2 linked regions of the Macaca fascicularis genome follow. The protein of the gene in region 1 purifies or fractionates together with the protein of each later gene. This does not show direct contact. Links are inferred from orthologs where the notes say so. Each region holds a gene or a part of one and is shown in the gene's direction. Other genes may lie near its edges.

The links.
Region 2: the proteins of CHTOP (region 1) and ERH purify together in Homo sapiens (affinity purification with mass spectrometry; 3 studies listed by BioGRID and IntAct, with this or other methods). This does not show direct contact. The link is inferred for Macaca fascicularis from reciprocal best matches to the Homo sapiens genes CHTOP and ERH.

The regions. Positions count from the first base shown.
Region 1 is NC_088375.1:107,530,905-107,536,118, reverse strand, and holds the start of CHTOP (chromatin target of PRMT1 protein), read left to right. Parts: upstream 1-1,736; 5' UTR 1,737-2,000; intron 2,001-4,223; 5' UTR 4,224-4,240; coding exon 4,241-4,305; intron 4,306-5,214. UniProt on the Homo sapiens protein: Plays an important role in the ligand-dependent activation of estrogen receptor target genes. May play a role in the silencing of fetal globin genes.
Region 2 is NC_088381.1:137,312,347-137,316,978, reverse strand, and holds the start of ERH (enhancer of rudimentary homolog), read left to right. Parts: upstream 1-1,286; coding exon 1,287-1,289; coding exon of another isoform or gene 1,290-1,381; exon of another isoform or gene 1,382-1,513; intron 1,514-4,601; coding exon 4,602-4,632. Other genes in the region: SLC39A9 (zinc transporter ZIP9), read right to left, coding at 1,070-1,381. UniProt on the Homo sapiens protein: May have a role in the cell cycle.

The DNA.
Region 1 (5,214 bases):
CCACGATCCTTACCCTCACATGGGCCTTACACACACACACACACACATACACACACGTGCCAGTGCCAGGAAGGAAAATGAAAGGGTCTTCACGTGCCTATGGGGCGGAGAAAGGGTGGGCAGGGACAGATGTGTCATTCTCTCATTACTCAAACATATGCACACTGTATTGTGCACATAGCCATTAGAAAAATCTCTTATTGGCCGGGCGCGGTGGCTCAAGCCTGTAATCCCAGCACTTTGGGAGGCCGAGATGGGCGGATCACTAGGTCAGGAGATCGAGACCATCCTGGCTAACACAGTGAAACCCCGTCTCTACTAAAAAATACAAAAAAATAGCCAGGCGAGGTGGTGGGTGCCTGTAGTCCCAGCTACTCCGGAGGCTGAGGCAGGAGAATGGCGTAAACCCGGGAGGCGGAGCTTGCAGTGAGCTGAGATCCGGCCACTGCACTCCAGCCTGGGCGACAGCGCGAGACTCCGTCTCAAAAAAAAAAAGAAAGAAAAAAAAAAAAAAGCAAAATCCCTTATTGAGGCCGGGCATGGTGGCTCACGACTGTAGTCCCAGCACTTTGAGACACAGAGGTGGGCAGATCACTCGAGGTCAGGAGTTAGCGACCAGCCTGGTGAAATCTCATCTCTACTAAAAATACAAAAATTAGCAGGGCGTGGTGGCACGCGCCTGTAATTCCAGCCACTCAGGAGGCTGAAGCAGGAGAATCGCTTGAACCTGGGAGGCGGAGGTTGCAGTGAGCCGAGATGGTACCACTACACTCCAGCCTGGGTGATAGAGCGAGACTCCATCTGCAAAAAGAAAAAAAAGAAAGAAAGAAAGAAAGAAAAATCCCTTAATTGAGCAGGACACATAGTTCATGCCTATAATCCTAGGACTCGGGAGGCTGAGGTGAGAGGATCACCTGAGCCCAGGAGGTCAAGGCTGCAGTGATCCGTGATTGCGCCACTGACTCCAGCTTGGACAACAGAGCCAGACCCCGTCTCAAAACAACAACAACAACAAATCAAAAAGCGAGAAAAGAGAAATCCCTATGTAGGTCTGCCACAAAATAAACACGGATGGCAGGTGTGGAGGGAGGACATGGAAGCGCAATCGAGGACGCAAAGGTGCACCCCCCGCAAGAAGGATTAAACAGTATTTAGGCCAAGTTGGGAAGGGGAGGAAGTGAAGAGGAAAACATGGACGGGCGGTGGTGTTGGCCAGCGCAGGATGGGAGAGGAATGTGCTCCCAATACTGGGCCTTGGCGGGAGCATTTACGGCACTTTACAACTCTCAGACTGGGCGACTGGCCATGAGGGGAAAACCAGTGCAAATTCCCCAGGCCCAGTTGTCCGGAAGAAGACGAGGCAAGTCCGCGTAAAGATTTTTAGACGATGTACCTTGCCTAAGGAACAGAGGGGCAAGGGAATTCGGAACCCAAATCCCCTCTAAGACCCTGATTACTAACTAGTAACCCAGGAGGTTGCAGCTTAACCACTACGGGAACTTGAAGTCCCGGCACGCCCCGATAGGGCCATTGTCACGCCCCCAGGGGGCGGGGCACTGCTTATACCGCTAAGGTAAAGTTTGCTGAAGTTCACCCTAAGGCTCCGCCTCTGATCCCTGCGCAGGCGGAGCTCAAATCTTTCACGCCCTCTAGTCGTGAGCGGATCTGACGCCTGACGTAATGGCGTAGACGCCATTTTAGCCGGTCCCACAAGCACTGCATGTGGCGGCCATTTTGTTTTGGACACCGAGCCGGAGCTGGCGGCCGCTGCAGACGAAAGGCAAGAAAGGGCAGGCCGGGTGAGCAGACGGATCGGCCGGCTAGACAGCCAACCAGCAACAACGAACTGAGCTCGCATACTACCGCTTACGCATCTGACCAACCGCCCATCTAGCTAACCCGAGCCCCTCCACCGTCAACTCAGGTTCGGCCGGTCCCCGGCCCGCCTGCCGGAGCCGTGGTGGCAGCCCCGGGAGGAGCACTGGCGTCTGTTTCCTTCGGTGAGTTTCTGTAGGGAGAAGGAGCGGGGTGGCGGGGTCTTGGAGAGCGGAAGGGGCTGGCGGACGCGGAAAGGGGGTGGTGGCATGTGGACACAGCTACGGTGTTGGAGCGTGGAGGCCCGGGGGAGGAGGCGGAGCCCCTGCGAAGGGGCGGGGGAGGGGCTGAACTGGAACCTGGTGGCGGGACTGATGGAGGTTGGGGTTTGATAGGGATTAAAAGGAAACTTGGGTTGAGCAAAAGTGGAAGTCTTGATAGGGCTTTGAGGATGGTAGGGAGATTAAGAAATACAAGACTTTGAGGAATGTTGGAAATTAATGGCGGCTTTAGGGTTAAGTTTTGTGGAGGGCTCTTTGCGAGCTCATTCCCCAGGTGAATTTAGAAAACCTTTCCTACGCACTCCCCGAGATCATTAGTTTATTGTTACAAAAGTCTCTACTTGATTCTGGAGTTGAAAGCCAATTTTTAAACTAGGCTTTTTTTTTTTTTTTTTTTTTTTGAGACGGAGTGTCGCTCTTTTTGCCCAGGCTGGAGTGCAGTGGCACGATCTCAGCTCACCACAGCTTCCGCCTCCCGAGTTCAAGCGATTCTCCTGCCTCAGACTCCCGAGTAGCTGGGATTACAGCCATGCGCCACTACGCCCAGCTAATTTTGTATATTTAGTAAAGACGGGGTTTCTCCATGATGGTCAGGCTGGTCTCGAACCCCCAACCTCAGGTGATCCGCCCGTCTCGGCCTCCCAGAGTGCTGGGAAAACTGGCGTGAGCCACCGCGCCCGGCCCTGCCTATATTTTCACTCTAGATCAGTAGTTTTCAACTTTAACTGCACGCTAGAAGCACCTAGGTAGCTTTCCCTCCACCCCACAATTGTTCATTTCCAAACCTCGTTACTAGAGATTGTGGTTTAATTGATCTAGGCCCAGATATCTGTATTTTTTATTTTTTTAATTAATTTATATTTTTATGGAAACGGGGTCTTGCCATGTCGCCCAGGCTGGTCTTGAGCTCTAGGGCTCGAGCATTCCGCCCACCTTGGCCTCCCAAGGTGCTGAGATTACAGGCGTGAGCCACCGCGCCCTTTGAAAGCTCCTTGGATAAGTCATATGTAGTCAAGATTGAAAATGACTGCTCTAGAGAAAAAGCCAAACTCGACCGGGCGCGGTGGCTCACGCCTGTAATCCCAGCACTTTGGGAGGCCCAGGTGGGTGGATCGGGTGAGGTCAGGAGCTCAAGACCACCCTAGCCTACGTGGAGAAACCCCGTCTCTACTAAAAATACAAAAACAATTCGCCGGGCGTGGTGGCACATGCCTGTAGTCCCAGCTACTCAGGAGGCTGAAGCAGGAGAATCGGTTGCACCAGGAGGCAGAGGTTGCAGTGAACCGAGATCGCACCACTGCACTCCAGCTTGGGCGAGAGAGTGAGATTCCGTCTCAAAAAAAAAAAAAAAAAAAGGCCAGACTCCATACTTTGATTGCTAAATTGGGTTCTGCCGTTTTTGAGAATTTCCTGGGTATTTTCTGGGCCTTGGAGTTTGTTTGGGGTTGGTTGGTTGTTTTAAAGAGTTGGGGTCTCTCTCAGGCTGGAGTGCAGTGGCGTCATCACAGCTCTTTGCAGCCTCCAACCCCTGGGCTGTAGCACTTCTCCCACATCAGCTCCCCCTGAGTAGCTAGGACCACAGGTGCTGGCCACCATGCACTATTTATTTATTTATTTTCTTAGTAGAGACTCGGTCTCACTTTGTTACCCAAGCTGATCTCTAACTCCTGGCTTCAAACCATCCTGTGCCCTCACCCTCCCAAAGTGTTAGGATTACAGGTGGTGAACCACCACGCCCAGCCACCTTGAAGTTACAGTAATGTGAGGTAACTGCCATAGAAATTTAAGCACTTTTGCACTTTTGCTGGGCATGACACCTCATGTCTGTGATCCCAGCACTGGGAGGCCAAGGTGGGAACATCCTTTGAGGCCAGGAGATTACAGCTGCCGTGAGCCACTGCAGCCAAGATCATGCCACTGCATTCCAGCCTGAGTGACAGAGTAAGACCCTCTCTCAAAAAAAAAAAAAAAAGAAAAAGAAATTTAAGCACTTGAAATGTGCCCTCATGTGCTCTTAAGTCATCAGTGATAAGGCCTTTTTATTTATTGTTGACTTGGGCCTTGCCACTTATAGAAATGATGTGGTCACTATTGTGATTTGCTCATTTTACGTATTGTCCTTTGTAGATTCTCGGGATTTGAAGATGGCTGCACAGTCAGCGCCGAAAGTTGTGCTAAAAAGCACCACCAAGATGTCTCTAAATGAGCGGTGAGGCAGCCAACAGCAACTTCAGCTCCTTCCTAAGAAAACATTACTTAACTTGGCCCTGGGGTCCAGTGCACAAAGCCAGTTTTAAGCTAAATACCAACAGAAGGCTACAGACCTCTGTTCTTAGTTGCATCTCATGTGGTACACAAAACAAATTGGGCGGTTGTTTCAAAACCCCTTATCAGTAGACTTTTATGTTAAGCTGTCTGAAATATTTATTTGGTGGGATGTATTTTAAAAGACTCCTAACACCCTCCCTTTTCACATTTTTTTACATTGATACAGGGGTCGTGCAGCACGGTAGCATGGTACCCTGGCTACAGTAGGCTTGCTGCCCAGTCCAAGGCCAGCAGTGTTGTGTCTGGCCTGTAAGAGGCAGGTAGCAAGCCATGAATATGTCCAAAGGTCCTTGAATGTCGTTCTTGGGCCTTGTAAGAGGCACTTGCTTTGCTCCATTTCACTTTCTTTCCATTCTGCTTTTAGTTTGGTTTTGTTTTGGATTCTTTTACAGTTAAGTGTTCTTCTCTTCCATTCCATTACACTTCCTTGACAGAAATAATGAGTCTCTTCACGGGCTCATAAATGATCGAACTAATCTAACTTTCAAAAGTAACTACTTGGAGTCAGAAAAAGTGATGATTTGAGACTAAGAAAAGTAAAAGTATTTAAAGGCAGTTTCTATTTTTGACAACTTTGTTCATTAAGAGTCCCTTTGGCTGGGCGCAGTGGCTCATGCCTGTAATCCCAGCACTTTGGGAGGCCAAGGGTGGATCACAAGGTCAGTAGTTCAAGACCAGCCTGGCCAACATAGTGAAACCCTGTCTCTACTAAAAATAGAAAAATTAGCTGGGCGTGGTGGTGCATGCCTGTAATCCCAGCTGCTCGGGAGGCTGAGACAGGAGAATCACT
Region 2 (4,632 bases), on another chromosome or scaffold:
AACTACTACCTCACAGCCATCCCGACAGCTGACAGAAAGTTGAGAATTTCTTACCTCTGAGAAATTAACAGCCAAGGGAATGATTCCAGCCACGTAACATCCCACCAACATAGCCAAAGACAGTAGGCTAATGGAGATGAAATCATCCATTCTGCCCTTCTTTATTCACCCACCACCACTAGACAACAAATTTCCAGTGGCTTTAAAAGGTGCTTAGGTTCTTTAAACAGGTGTGGTGGTTCCAAGAGAGTGGGCTTTCCAGTTCTTTAGGCCTCCTCACCAGCAGATGTGTTCACGAGGCACCTTCCTCTTGAACGTACCCGGAAACAGACCCTTGTTGCTGATATTAGCACCAGAGAAAGCTTACAGCAATCTAGGGTCCCAGGCTCTGGGTTCTGAGATGCCAGTCATTAGATTCTCGTGGGTTAACAGAGATGGGAAAAGTCAATGGGGAAAATGTGCGAATGATCGATTTCTTCGATTGTCGGAATGAGAGTGGCACAACGTCTTACGCGGCGGCGGGTGACTCAAGCGAACCTGTTCGTTCCCTAGGCGCCCCTGTCTCCAAGAGGCGGCCCCGAAGGTGATCCGCCCCCCACGGCAGGAAACCAGCCCACCAGTCCCAGCAAACTGTCCTCTGAGCCTGGGATGCGGAAAGGAGTCCTGCAGGTCTCTAACGATGGGTCCTAGGGGTTCAGCAGCAAAGTTGACACAAAGCTGTCTCTGCCCTATACCCGGTGCTGCCCATGGTACTGCACTCGGCCGGGCCTTGACCCGGAGTCGCCGATACTACAGCTGCCATGGCCGCCAAGTGGCACCTCTTCATTCCATCCACTTCCGGATTGTCTAACCGCCCCCTCCTTTACAAGGGCACTTCCGGGTTACAACCGACCTCTGGCCCGCGATACTTACGTTGCCGCCATTTTTGAGTAGGGCTAATTAAAGATGTCTGATGTCACTGTCTACACCGGTGCTCACTTGAGCCGTATGTTTAATAACGAAAGTACGGAAGACAGCGTCTTGAAACAAAATAATTCTTCCTAAAGTTCGGAAACTTTCCCTTACTTACCTTTTTGCCTTTATCGAAGATGGCTGAAACAGAGTCAGTATCTGCTCTAGCTGCCGGAAGTGACTGTGCCTCTATGATCCAAAAGGCTCTTTTGCGTTGAATTTTCGACGACTTCCGGCGGCTCCTCTCGCGGGGATTGGCTGTTAGCGGCGTTGTGGCTAAGCTCGTGTAACGGCGGCGGTGTCGGCAGCAGCTGCAGCGAAGAGAGTTTGGCGCGATGGTGAGAAAGGCCCCCGCGGCTACCCGAGTCCGAGTCCCCGGCCTCCAGAGCGACCCCAGCCCTATACATTTTCCTCTCCCCACGAGCCCCATGCAGCGCGGCGTGATGCTCCCCGCCACTCCAGTTGGTGGATGGATCCTTCTTCCCGCCGCAGAGACGCCAGGCCTGACTCTAGGCCCCGGAGCGCCAGTCCGCCCTGCGGTTGCGCGCCCGCCTGCTCGCTCGGGTCAGGCGTGCCTTGGACCTGAGGATGAGCTCTCTCCCGATTGTTACTCGGTAGAGGGAGGCATAGGAACGGTGGTTTTTCTGGTTTGTTTTTTGAGACAGTCTCACTGTATCGCCCAGGCTGGAGTACAGTGGTGTGATCTCGGCTCACTGCAACCTCCGCTTCCTGGGTTCAAGCAATTCTCCTGCCTCAGCTTCCCAAGCTGGGATTACAGGCGCCCACCACCTCGCCCGGCTAATTTTTGTATTTTAGTAGAGATGGAGTTTCATCATGTTGGCCAGGCTGGTCTCGAACTCCTGACCTCAAGCAGTCTACCCGCCTCGGCCTCCCAAAGTGCTGGGATTACAGGCGTGAGCCACCGGGCCCGGCCGGGAATGGTGCTTTTTCCCTCCAAATGCTCTAGCCTGCTGTAGGAACAATGGGCCAGGGTTGTGTAACCTTTTCTGGAAGCTGACAGATCCAGCTTACTATATCCAGCATGTGGGCCAGGAGAGGTCGTATTTACTTTGTAGTGTTTTCTCAGCTTTCGTTTTCCTGTGCTCTGCCTTTTTTTTTTTTTTTTTTTTTTTTTTCCTATTTCTGAGACCTCTAGGTAGTTCATGTGGCGCGTCCCTCAGCCCTCGATCCTGTTCTTATCTGTATTTATATCCTCTTGGGGCTGGAGACTGAAAAGTAGGCTCAGCTCAGAGACCAGCTCTATTAGAATCCAACCAGGATGATCAGTAAGCTCCAATTCGAAGAAAGTGACCAAAACTGGCTTGAGAGGTGGTATAATCTGTAAAGAATTTGAGCAGGAAAGCAATGCCATTTTAAAATGACCACATTTTTTAAAATGTATCATGTTACGTTCTTAGTGGTTTTTAATCCCTGTTTTTGGGCAGTAAGTATTGAAAATAGTAAACTTTGCCCAGTGTTCATTTTAAGACTAGATATAAAAAGCAACATGCTGTATAGCTTATTCCATTGTTACGCTTTCAAATTAGTCCTTTAATTTGCATTAGAATTGGAATACAATTATAGTAGCAGTTGAGATAGCTAGTGTATAGGGGCAAGCTCTGTTGCAAGAATGCACGTGGTTTCTACAAAATTATTTTTTCTTAACAAATGACTCATTGAAACTTTTTGAGTAGCTAGCTTACAAAGACTTCTGTGTAACAAATAATCTAATGCTTTCTGTGGCTTTTAAATCGATTTAACAAAGGCTTTGACTGTTCAGGTTATAGGTGAGAGTTAATCCTTCGTCTCTTGTCACCAAGTTCCGTTTTTATCTCACACCCTCTCAAACTTTTAGTCAAAGTGATTTAATTATTGATGGGGAGAGAAGAGTATAACCCTTTGTTTTGCGTGTCATGTTAAATGTACTATTTTTCCATTGTTTATTCAGCTATTTCAGCTCCAATTTGATGGTTAAAAATTCTGATCATTTTGGCCGGGCGCAGTGGCTCACGCCTGTAATCCCAGCACTTTGGGAGGCCGAGGTGGGCAGATCACCTGAGGTCAGGAGTTCGAGACCAGCCTGACCAACATGGAGAAACCCTGTCTCTACTAAAAAGACAAAATTAGCGAGCGTGATGGCATATGCCTGTAATCCCGGGTATTGGGAGGCTGAAGCAGAAGATTCTCTTGAACCCGGGAAGCAGAGGTTGTGGTGAGCTGAGATCGCGCCATTGCACTCCAGCCTGGGCAACAAGAACTCTGTCTCAAAAAAAAAAAAAAAAAAATTATTTTCATTCCAAAACAGTTAGGGTTCCTGTTGTTAGGAAATTTTTGTTTTCTGGTTTTTGGCTGAAAAATACTAGTACAGCAGAAGAGAAGGAAAAAAGTGAATAGTTTGATTTGGGACTGGGTTTACAGTGGAGTTGCATCATACTTGCATTTAATTAATCAACCTTACACGGGTAGCAAAAAATTGGATGGGTCATATTTTCAACAGACCAGTGAATTCTCAGCTGGATGAGATTTTTTGCTCCCTAAGGGACATTTGTCACAAAGAATCAGCCAGCTCAAAATGTAATAGAGCCCAGGTTGAGAAACACTGAGATTGACTTGTTAGTGACTGAACACTAACAAAAACATGTTCCCCAGTGAGCATGAAGTGGAAGACACGTCTGTCTGCTATTTTTCGGGCATATTTCACATTTCTCATAGTGTGATAACCTAACATTCTGTGTGATTCTAATACCTGGTTTTGGTATGAGAAAGCCCAGTAAGGCAAGTCATCTACTAGGTGAATAGTTCAATGGATTTTTAAGGGTAATTCTTATGATGGTTTATATTGCTAATTTATCTACTCCTTTAATGTTAAGTCTAACCCCTGGATAAAATGTGACTTTGCTCTTATGCTAAGGTTGGCAAAAAAAATTGAACCCATGCTTGTGATTATTACACTATTTCCCCTTTTGTTTCCTTTCATCAGCCCATCTGAGTTTTTATTAATGACTTAAGAGCATTAAAGATGGAAAGTGACCACTGGAGACAGAAAACCTAAGCAGGTTTATAATTTAGTTGGGAAGAAAAGATACAAAAGAAAAAGGAAGACAAGGTAGCTTATACTGATAACTTGTAGGCAGTAAATACAGTAGGACTGGGAGACTTAGGGAGACCTTACAGCAGAGTTGTGAATCCAGCTAGATCCTACACTTGGACTAAGACATAAATATTTTTGTGGGAAAAGTATCCTAATTACTTTTTTTTTTTTTAAGAGAGAGGGTCTCACTCTTCGATGCAATGGTGTGATCATGGTGCACTGCAGTCTCAGCCTCCTGGGCTCAAGGAATCCTTCTGCCTTAGACTTCCAAAGTGCTGGGACAACAGGCATGCACCCAGGAAATTTTATTTTATTTTTTTAGAGACAGGGTCTTGCTGTGTTGCCCAGGCTGGTCTCAGGCTTCTGGCCTCAAGTGATTTTCCACCCCTCAGCCTCCCAGAGGATGAGGATTACAGGCATGGGATGCCATGCCTGGCCTCTCTAATTACATTTTAATAACTAGCAATCATTATTGCATTACAAATGGGGATTTTTTTTTTATCATACTATGAATTTCTCAAATAGAAACTTATATTGAAATCATGTTTCCCCCCTGCAGTCTCACACCATTTTGCTGGTACAGCCTACTA